2 linked regions of the Arabidopsis thaliana genome follow. The protein of the gene in region 1 interacts with the protein of each later gene in a pairwise test. Each region holds a gene or a part of one and is shown in the gene's direction. Other genes may lie near its edges.

Evidence for each region. The genes of interacting proteins can lie anywhere in the genome.
Region 2: the proteins of VOZ2 (region 1) and AT4G26410 interact in a two-hybrid assay, tested with the Arabidopsis thaliana proteins (one large-scale study listed by BioGRID).

What each region holds. Positions count from the first base shown.
Region 1 is NC_003071.7:17,652,989-17,658,815, reverse strand, and holds VOZ2 (vascular plant one zinc finger protein 2), read left to right. Parts: upstream 1-1,952; 5' UTR 1,953-2,132; intron 2,133-2,374; 5' UTR 2,375-2,429; intron 2,430-2,522; 5' UTR 2,523-2,534; coding exon 2,535-2,738; intron 2,739-2,854; coding exon 2,855-3,058; intron 3,059-3,245; coding exon 3,246-3,774; intron 3,775-3,910; coding exon 3,911-4,326; 3' UTR 4,327-4,646; downstream 4,647-5,827. Other genes in the region: ZFP11 (zinc finger protein 11), read right to left, coding at 22-726, 931-948; AT2G42395 (uncharacterized protein), read left to right, coding at 4,836-4,913, 5,014-5,250.
Region 2 is NC_003075.7:13,344,860-13,350,362, forward strand, and holds AT4G26410 (chromosome-associated kinesin), read left to right. Parts: upstream 1-1,794; 5' UTR 1,795-1,900; coding exon 1,901-2,143; intron 2,144-2,635; coding exon 2,636-2,702; intron 2,703-2,918; coding exon 2,919-2,996; intron 2,997-3,128; coding exon 3,129-3,181; intron 3,182-3,293; coding exon 3,294-3,430; intron 3,431-3,517; coding exon 3,518-3,582; intron 3,583-3,697; coding exon 3,698-3,756; intron 3,757-3,842; coding exon 3,843-3,932; 3' UTR 3,933-4,278; downstream 4,279-5,503. Other genes in the region: AT4G26400 (RING/U-box superfamily protein), read right to left, coding at 94-1,164; AT4G26415 (uncharacterized protein), read right to left, coding at 4,279-4,768, 5,160-5,503.

The sequences.
Region 1 (5,827 bases):
ATACTAGCTAATCAAAAGAATTTAGAGGTAGCCTAGTCGAAGCTCCAAATCAAGAACTTGGTTGGGATTCCTCAAACTCATCCCAAGCTCCAACCCCATGACTTGATCATCTTTCTTATTCATCAGATCCCCACGGCTTATCTCACATCTTACTGAATGACATGCATCGATGGCACTTTTCTTGATCTCTCTGCTACATACATTGCTCTTGTTCTTCTCTCTGTCCATCATCAAACCTCCATAGCTAGTAGTACTGTCCAAAAGATCAAACCGGGCAGAAGGAAAAGGAGTGGTTTTGGATCTCTGGTTGGTTAGGGAAGGCTCAAGATGAGCTGTTGTTGTTGAAGAGGAAGAAGAAGAGCTAAAATTAGGGTTAGGGTTTGCAATAGGTGTGTGGTGGTGAGGTTCGAAGAGCCAAGAAGGGATCTGCCTGAGTTTTGCTCTGTCTCTTCTATGAACATTCATGTGGCCTCCAAGTGCTTGAGCAGATCTGAACTCTCTCCTGCAGAAGCTGCAAGTGTAATTCTTGGGAGGCCATGGGATCAGCCCAGCTTCGTAATTCTTGTAGTGATTCATGATGACTCTGTTGTCACCATTACCGTCTTCTCCTTCTTCTTCTTGGGTTTTGTCTCTGTTACTAAAACTTGCCAAATGTGTTCTCTTCATATTTTCCAACAGATGATGATCAATGCTGGTGGTGAATGATGAAGATAGTATGATACTCCCCTGCATGAAATAAACTAAGATGTTATGTATGTATATATTAATTCAAAAGTGAGAAAGAATAAGAGTGGGGGATGATGAAAACCGTATAGATAGAGATTTTTGAGTTTGATGAGGAACTAAGGAAGAATGTAACTACGGAGGAGTTACTATGTGTTATATAGAGTCAAAAGGGAAACAAAAACAGAAGGTGGTTTTTATCCTTACTTGAGGAAGGAGGTGCATGTACGGATGATCATTTATTAGGGTTTAAGTCTGTTACATGTTTGGTCAGATATATTGGAGAATAATGAGTATAGGCTAGGCTATGTTCGATTAGATATCATGAGTGGAAATTATTTAAAAAAATAAAATAAAAAGAGAGAAAGAAAGAGACAAAGAGGTAGTTTCATGATTAAGAGGGAGAGAAAGAGGAATTGAATAGAGGCTACTTAACTCATGATGCTCATATGCCTGCAATGTGTCTGCTTGTTACTATAATTGGAAGTTACTTGAGACCAATGTTATTGTGGTATGGGAACTCTGTGTTGCATTAATATTTTGTGTCAAAATCTTGCAGGGAGATAACTTGCCATTTCATTTTCATCATATTCCATCTCTGGCTCCACAAATCTCTTCATTATATATATTTGAACATCTATTATATACACACAAGATAGCCTAAAAATATGAACATGTGTTTAGTTTTTTGATATGGAGAGATTGTAGTGAATAGTGATGGAGGGCCAAAAGAAACCAAAACTATTACTAATTGATTTTGACATTGATTAGAAGAAACTGTAAAGGAAAGAAACAAGGCTTGTGTATGCATTAAGGACATAGACAATGACGTCCCTGATGTCTTCAGAGTTATTGCAGCTTATATCCATAACTAAGAAAACTTACATATTACTTTAAAACTAAGTAATAAACCAGTAACGCTAACAATCGTATGCCACATCTAGACAAGTGTAAACAAAATTGGTGGATATAGAATTATAACCCTATCAGCATATCAACTTTATGGGTTGAGGAACTCAATTTCGGTTGTCAAATATATATTGTGTGACAAATTTTAACTTATCAAATTTTATTCTCATTCCTTAATCAAGCATTAAAGTTTTCTCAATTGACCAATCTCTAAGAATTGAAAAAATAATCTTCATCTAGTTAATGCATATCTATTGAATTTGGAAAATTTAAAAGTTTTTTTTTATTAATTTTGTTTTTGGGAAAATCATAAAAGACACCCTCCCCTCAATAGAAGATGAAACGCGGCGTTTCATAAATAAAAACGAGAAAATCAAAATCGTCGCTCTCTGTTTGCTGGCGTAACTTAGCCTTGTTCTTCTTCTTCATCGCGATATCTCCGGTGTCTTCTTCGTCTCCATCAGAAGAAGAAGCTCTCTGTATCCATCCATATCGAAAAAGTATGAACTTTATCCGAATTTCTTCTCAATTTTATGGATTTATTAGTCAGACTCATGTTAGGGTTTTGTTCGATTTCATGAATTTAGGGTTGAAATTTTGCTTGTTTGTATAGACTCTAATGGAACTGATGGTTTGTTTTAGGATTGGGTTGATCTAAAAAAATGCTTTTTTGCTTTGTTGTTGTCGTGAATTCTGCTCAATACCTTCCATTAAGTAATCAGTTTTGGTTTGTGATGAATAGCCAGAGATCGGAGGAAGGAGAGAGAGATACCAATCTCTGTTGCTTTGGTTTTAAGGTAATGTGTTTGTTTCCTTCCTCATGAGAATCGGAATATTAAGGTATTTTGTGGTTAAGATTTTAGTTGATTTTTGAGAATGGTTTTGGTCAGGGTTTAGAGGAGATGTCAAACCACCCGAAGATCACATCGGCGCATCAGAATGTGGAGGAGAAGCTAAGGGAACTTCAGGAGAGGTTCTGTCATCTTCAAGCTGCTAGGAAAGAAGGGCGGCATGGTGACCTTGCGCTTTTAGAAGCCCAAATCTCTCAGAATATTCGGGAGTGGCAAGCTGAACTCACTGCTCCTTCTCCTGAATCTTCTCTGTTGGTTCGTCCTACTCCATTACCATACTTCTCTATGGTTTATGGTTCCAATTCTTTGAAAAATAGTGAATCTGTAAGCTTGGTTGAGATTTAGCTCTTTTGGTCTTTAACATGTTGCAGGGTGAAGGTATTAGCCAATTCCTTGAGGAGTTTGCTCCTCTGTTGAAATTAGACGAGGAGGATGATGCAACTAGTACGCTAAAAGAACATGCTGGAGCAAAGCCTGATCCTGAGGGTTTTTCTCAAAGCTTGTGCCCTCCTGAATGGACATCTGAGAATTTTAGTCAAAGTCCTTTCAACGGAAATTTCTCCTGCGGCTTTGAGGTGAGCTAGATACAGTTTCTGCGTCAAAATTGTCTTCTATAATCTTTTGATTGTTGGTTAGATGTTCCTAGACATTTGAACACCGTTGATTCTTTATTCCAGTTCAGCTATGAGTTTTGATCTTTTTCATTCTTGTCTTAGTTTTGATTTTGTTTCCTTATGTACAAGTTCACCTTTTCTATCTCAGGATGCTCTTAATAGCACAGAAACACATGGCCAGCAACTCCATTATGGATATGAAGGGTTTGATCCAAGCATAAACTCCGCTCCTGATTTCCATGACCAAAAACTCAGCAGCAACTTGGATATAACTTCTCAGTATGATTATATTTTCTCCGAAGTGCGTCAGGAACTAGATAACAGCCCTTCCACTAAGCTTGATTCTTCTGAAGAGATTGACAACTTTGCTGAATTTTCTACTCCATCAAGTGTCCGTGTGCCTCCATCTGCTTTTCTGGGACCTAAGTGTGCACTATGGGATTGCACAAGGCCTGCTCAGGGCTCCGAGTGGTACCTGGATTACTGCAGTAACTACCATGGGACTCTAGCTCTGAATGAAGATTCGCCTGGCACAGCACCTGTATTGAGGCCAGGGGGCATCAGTTTGAAAGATAATCTATTGATTGATGCTCTTCGTGCAAAGACTCAGGGTAAGAATGTTGGGATCCCAGTGTGTGAAGGAGCTGTTAACACAAAATGCCCATGGAACGCAGCAGGTGAGAGCATTGTCCCACTAGAGCCCAGTTTTGCTTCTCTCTTTGTTTTAGTTCAACATTTCGTTGCCTCTTTGAAAACAGAAGCCTTATGTGAGTTTCTTACTTTTGCCTGACCCTTAATTTTTTGTACTTGCAGAGCTATTTCATCTTGAACTGGTTGAAGGCGAAACAATTAGAGAGTGGCTCTTCTTTGACAAACCTAGAAGAGCATATGATAGCGGAAACCGAAAGCAAAGATCACTTCCAGATTACAGTGGAAGAGGTTGGCATGAATCAAGAAAACAACTGATGAAGGAACAAGAAGGCCAGAAGAGATCTTACTATATGGATCCACAACCTCCAGGTCCCTTTGAGTGGCATCTCTTTGAATACCAAATCAATGAATCTGACGCATGTGCGTTATATCGCCTAGAACTTAAAGTAGGAAATGGAAAGAAGAGTCCTAAGGGAAAGATTTCAAAAGACCCTCTGGCTGATCTGCAGAAGAAGATGGGACAGTTTAAAGTGGCTTCAGACAAACCCTCTCCTCCAACCAAAGGTCGTAAGGAGTGAAGTTAGCTATTGGTAATCTAACTCAAGACTCCTGCAACAATAGCTCCAAGTTGTCTCCAGCATTCTACAAAAGAGCCATCGCCACCTCTGTTTTCTTTTTTTTTTTCTTTCTGACTGTATTATGAAGAGATAGGATCTTTGATGTGTTGTGTTAATATGGACAAGTCTGGTCTTTGCCCTTTTTCTTGATAGAATCGTAGATGGGTTTGTAAATTTTTGCATTTTATTTTTCTCCTTTAAAACCACAAGGATTTTGTTAACGAAGTGGTGTATTCATATTTCAAAGGTACATTTGCAACACCATTGATTCTTTATTCCAATTCTTATCTACGTGTGTGTGTGAATGAAACTTGAAACCAATACAAGTCACTAATGCTCTCAGATTATGTAATTGGGCTTTACTGGGCCGTTTATAAAATTGGGCTAGAAAAAGGGAGACAGCAGACGACAAGAGCATCCTTGTTCTCTTTAAACCCTAAATTACAAGCAAATCACCAACAGAGAGAGTAATGGCGAAAAATTCTGGTAGCTCGTTTGAAGCAGAGAAATCAGAGGGAAAGTGTGTTACGACGACTACTGAAGCACAAGTAATTCAAAATTCTGGCTGATGAATTATGTATTTGATTTTACGTATTTGTAATTCACTAATTCTCACTGATTCATACAATTTGTGTCGTAAATGAACAGCAAAGTAGTCAACCTGTTTTGAGCAAGGAAGAGGAGAAAGTGAGAGATAGCTACTTGTTCTGCTGTGAAAATTTCTACACTCTTCCTGAGATGATCAATTTCATGAAGGAGATTCATGGTGTAGAACAAACCACTGTGACAAAGGTTTTCAGGGAACTTTTAAAAGGTAGAAAAGCTGAAGCATATCTCAGAGAATCTCAGAAAAGAATGAAGGCAAGAACAACAACAACAACTTGAACAGAGGAGGATGAGGCTTAGGTTGCTCTAATTTGAAATTCTTTGGTTTGGTTTACTGGTTAGTAAGAAATAGACTTGTATTGTCACATTTTTTTATCATATTTTGAGGTCCATTGCTTTGGGTGTATGGACCAGACTAGGACAAATGAATAGGAGATGCAAAAGGGTAATAATGGAGAAGTCAGTCTTGTTGGTCTATTCTTGTCCGAGTCCATGATTTTTAGAGGGAGAACTAGAAGGAGGAACTAAAAGTTGTTTAGGTTAATGGTTTAGGTGCTAAGTGTTGGCTCTGTGTGTTACTTATGACTCGTGGGATCTAATGTCTTGTGAAAAATCACTTGTGAGATAAAATGGACATAGTCTAGAGAAGAAGGTATATAAGAAGAAAAGCAGTCAACTTAACTACAAAATCACAACGGCTCACAACTGTTTTATGTTGTAGAAGTTGGTTGCTTCTTAGAGTGGTTCATTCTTCATTACCAGCTAACCGCAAATAACCGTGACTTGAAGTCTTTCGAATTACACTTCTTTCACTCGTGGTTCAAACTTCTTCTGTTCAAGTTGTTATGCCTTCTCC
Region 2 (5,503 bases), on another chromosome or scaffold:
AGATTCCATTCCTCGAAAGTGTTTATTTGTTATGCAGTATTCAACAATCTGAGTGAACAAGATTTTATGTACTATAAGCTGAGGAATAGCAGTTTACGAGTTCTCACCGAGATGAGATGACCCCGAGGCCGATGCGGATGACGAAGAGGATGAAGAGAATAATCCGCTGAACGGCCATGGAAAAGAGAACCTTCTCTCGCTCACATTACTGTTCCTTGCATCATCTTCCACATTCTCATTACTTACGTTGATCTCTAGAGTTCTTGTTCTCGGTCTTACAGGATTAACCTTGGTCTCATCATCAGGAGGGAGTTCATATCGGCACACGGGACATGAACTGTGAAGCTCGAGCCACGGTACTATACACCGGATGTGAAACTTGTGCTTACACGGCATCTCTTTAGCTTCACTTCCTTTGTCAAAATCATCCAAACAAATCGAGCACTGCAATGATTCACTTATCTTAACCGTTGGGAGATTATCCACAACTTCTTTACGTGCTGGAAGACTCCCGTGCCTGATTGAATCATTATCAGCTAGATGTTCAAGCAAATGGTCTAAACTGGATCCAACAAAGTAATCTCCAATTGCAGAAAGAGAAGTATTGTTCCGGTTTTGATTCAAACTCGTTGAACCCTGAACAACAGCTGATTGATTTAACAGGTCTCGATCCGAGCTCTCATACTCAGAAGCAATCCCTGCACGAATACCCTGAAGCAACTGCAATATAGTAGCTGAGCTTCTCCGTCTCCTCCTAAGGATAGACTCAAACTCTCTGTCTAAATCAATCTCTCTACCTTGTTGCCTGTGGCGATGACGACGATGATGATGTCGATCAATATCGACGCTGTCATTTCCATCAACATCATCAGATACATTGACCTCATCATTATCCACACCAAACTCTGTCCTCCTAAACCTTCTACGTCTACGAGGATTACTCATCATTCCAAGCAAGATTGGACCCCATAGAGACAATGCACGGTCTGTACCAAAATCAATCTCAGGGTCTTGAACCTCCCTTAGACTGCTACTGCTGCCGCCATTAATCTCACGGCTCATTTCCTCGACAAACCCGCTTTGGCAAAAGGGGCATTTGATCTCGGCACCAATAACTGGATTCACCATTTGTGAACACATGTGACACCAATACCTAGCTGACATTGCCTCTTCCTCCTTCTTTCCTTCCCCACCCAAACCTCTCGTTTCTGAAACAACCAGAAGAACAACAAAAAAAAAAACATGAAGAAGCAAACCTATAAAGTTTCGACCTTTGTTTCATCAGATCTAAATAAAGAGAATGGTATTCCCAAAAGTTTCACTAAAAAGAGGATAATATCATCTTCACCAACATCATTAGCTCAAGTTTCAGACAACAAAACGCAAGCTTTCTATGCAAATGCGAATAAACAGATCAACCAAAATTTGCCTCTATAAAGAGATAACAATAGAAATCAGGGCTAATCCATGAAAAGAAAACTCTCAATTCTCATGGAGTAATTAAAACAAAACAAATACAAAAACAAACCTTGTAAATGTTCTTACTTTTGGAGATCCAGAGGGAAGAAATGTCTTCCTCCTTCTTTTAGATCTCCACGAAGATAAATGAGAGCTTTTTTATTTGTCTTCTTCTGCAGAAATGGTGGGAGACGAAGAAAAGAGGAATGAAGGAGGAAAGGAAGACGAAGATGAAGACGAAGAAAAGGGAATGTAATGTATAGTTCGCAGACCCAATCTTAAAGCCCATTAACCGCAAACTGATATATAAAGGAGCCGGGTCTATCTTAACCATTTAAAACCAACTTCTAATTTGGAATCAAATTGAACCGAATCGAACCGGTTGAAGTTGAAAGAAGGAGAAAAGGCGTTGTCTCCGTGCGAGAAAGGCAAATCGGAGACGATGAGCGAAACCGAAGCAACCGGCGTTACCGATGATTCGGCTCCAGCGATTGAGACTGAAACTGTTTCTGATGCGATGGAGCATACAGCGATCGGAGTGGTTGAATCGGTGGAAGGAGCCATAGAAGGAGCAGAGAAATGGGTGGGTGATTTGCAACGGACGGTGAAGGAATCGAAGGATACCGCAATGCGTTCTGCTCGTTCCCTCCGTGAAAATTCTACCTCTCAGTTCCGCTCTATACAGGTTAGTTAATCTCTCTTTTGTTCACCAAACAATTTTTGCGAATCGAGATTGTTTACCAAAAAACATTTTCAGGATTTCAAACCATGGATATGGTGGAATTTAGTATCTCGTAAGCTATAATTTCTAGAAATGAGCTCGATTCAGAACAGATATTTCTCCAATTAGCAGTTTTATGTATTGAATGGTGCTAGTTTTTGTTCATATGGGTAAAATCTTGTTGAATCATACCATTATAACTTATTGGCAATGATCTTAGTCTCTTCCTGGGTTCTGATTCTGCTTCAAATGGTTGTTTAGAAGACTGTAATGTATCGCTGAGGCATTCTTGATTATTCTCTAAACAATGTTTTTATATGATATCAGATATTCATGTAGCTTAATGATGTGTGATATGGAGTAGACCCTATCTGGCTGAAATCACAGTTCCATTAGATGTATGTATATGTCTTCGTCTTCTCTCATACAATCTTACATTTGATTCTGAAATTGCAGGATTTCATTCCACATGCTTTGACTCAGTATAAGACCTATGAGAATGCTTTCTTCAGTAAAGTTACAGGTATCTTGCAGCCAATTTTCGTGAAAAAGTTATACTGGTAGACTACTGTAATGCTTAGGAACGAGTATTTTAGATCAAACTGAGATATAACAGATAGCTGCCACAAAACTTTTATATATACTTGTAGTGCATCTTATAGTGTTCTGAAACTAGAATCTTCATGTCATTCCGATTAATCAATCCTCGTATCCTCTGCTGCTTTTGTTATCCTCGCAGACGAATTGATATACGCAAAAGAGCATCCGGCTGCTGCTATTGGGATTGGTGTCGCTGCTAGTCTCGTTCTGATGCGAGGTATAACCTCTACTCTCTTATCACTTTTACAACTTACAAGATTCCTTCCCGTAGGAGCATCCAAATGGTATTACATCTGTTTTACTTATATGTGTCTTGTATGAATTTGGTTTTCTATTGTTCGACTTACAGGCCCAAGAAGATTCTTGTTTCGTAATACACTAGGCCGATTTCAGAGCGAAGAGGTATATACTATACCAGCTTCAAATTTATTTCTTAACGTTGTTATGCTTAGTTGCCCTGGTCTGTGTCCCTTCCCTTATTTTTACATCCACTTCAAAATCATCGTCGCTTCAGGCACAATTCTTGAAAGCTGAGAAGCATGTTCAGGAGTTAAACATGTCTGTAGACTTGATGAAAAAGGAGAGCAGGAAATTGCTTGAGAGGACGGCTTTAGCAGAGAAGGATATGAAACGTGGTCTCTCTGAGCTCATGTATGCCCCAACATGGACGCTCCCACTTCTTTTATTAAGTTATTGACATCATTTATGTTAATATGGGTACTACTGTTATATCTATAGGAACTCTGGAAACGATATACATCGTCTTGCTAAGTCCGTCCACAAAGCTGAATGTGAAGCTGCTGGTAATCTTGAACAAGATTTATTTTTACTCACTTCTCCCTTCTCCCTTCAAATGGTATCTTTGATAATGCCACTACGTCAGATTTCAACTTACACAAAGAGTTCTATTCGCTGCAGATTTGATGGACGGACTTCGGCAAATTCCTGGAAGGGATGCTATCAAGCTTAGAGCTGAAGTGAGTCTGACTTTTTTCTTCTCGCCCATTGTTTGAGCTTCATTGCTATGAACGTCTCATTAAATTCTTTTGTCGTAAATCATTAGGTGGCTTCCATGACTTCGCTTTTGAGACAGAAGAGGATTGCATTGAACAAAAGGATCATGGGTATGTCGGACCTAGGAGTTTCCGTCTGATATATCCAACACAAATCCACAATTTCTTGGGTTTTCGCAACCAAAGTTTGTTAGGTATTTTCCAATTGAATCGCAGTGTACTCTCGTCCATCGAACATCCAACTCTGTCTGAAACCAAAATCTGAGCTTGAGACAGAACTTGTATACTGTGTTTTTGCCTGCTTCCTAAGATTTCTCGCTCAGAGAGAATTAATTGAGTCACAAAAATGTGTGTGCTTGGTTTGGAAATCCTTAATTATGTAGTCTAGAAGATTTATGAGAAACATAGAAAGTTACTGAATCAATCAGTAATGAAAATTTATAGATAACATGAAGGTTTTTAATGGGCTAGTTTTGCATCGTAAGTCTATGGGAGACGGGCTGTGGGCCATCCACCCATGCGACTAGGCGACCCAACTGCTCCGATTGGTCTAGTAATGTTAAACCCTCCAGACGAGCAAGAAGCTTCAGTCGTCGGACCGGTCCGACCATTAACGTCCAGAGTCCGTTCTCTCCTCCTTAGACGCTCCCTCTTGAGCAGAGTCCCTAACTTATCTTTTCCCGATTTTCCCTTGTCCGGAACAGGTATCATCTCCAGACCCATCAGCTTTGCAACAACCCCCGTCTTGCACCATACCACACTCTCTCCGGCCACTGTCCGTGGCAGGCGTTTTGTCTCCAAGCTCATCTGGCTCGATCTCTTTGATGTCCGTTGATCCCCGCAGTGGGATCTCCGCCCACCCTGTATCGTCATGTCAGCACTGGTGCCAAGATGGCGCCGGAAGGATGACCGGTACATAGCGTCCTTACCGTCCAGTGAGAAACGTGGGTACTGATTCAACGCGTTCCTTGCTGACCTTAACGGCAGACAAACAGAAGTTGATATTAGTATTGATCATAGTATCATACACAATAAAATTATTTCTGTTTCTTCCGGTAATTCCTTAAATATCACTACAGATTTCACCAGTATACGAAATCTAGAAAATTCAAAAAAAAAAAAAAAAAAAAACACTTTAAAATGTAGTCATATAACTTGTTTCGTACATTCAAATCTACACCGGTGAATATCATATTATCAATCATGAAACCAACGTTATTTCTCCTCTTGAATACGTTATATTCATTATTCAATATTCATCTTAATTACTAACGTGGCATGTCAAAAAAAGTTAACTATATGTAAGAGCTCATGAGTCCCTAATGAGAATATTTACTTAAGTACATATAAAAATAAGCATGACGCACCTCAAAATATCGGAACTGTTAACGCATGACATCCGGGCGGGCTGATGATATAACTTATCATCATCAACATCATTATGGTCATCACAATTATCGTAAGTACCGTAGTAAGATTCACGGAGTCTCGCTCTTCGAACAATATCTTCTTCAACCTCTAGCTGAAGTATCATCTCCTCTAGAGTTCTCGGAGATCCTCCACCGAAAGGAGTGTTTTCAGGTGTAACAGAAGGCCCCACATCGTTCTTTTGATGTTGGTTTAGTGTCAAAGTTGAGCCATCACCACCACAAGAGCTAGCAAAGCCGCTACGTGGACCTCGTCCTCGCATTCTCGAGGCGAGGGAGTATTT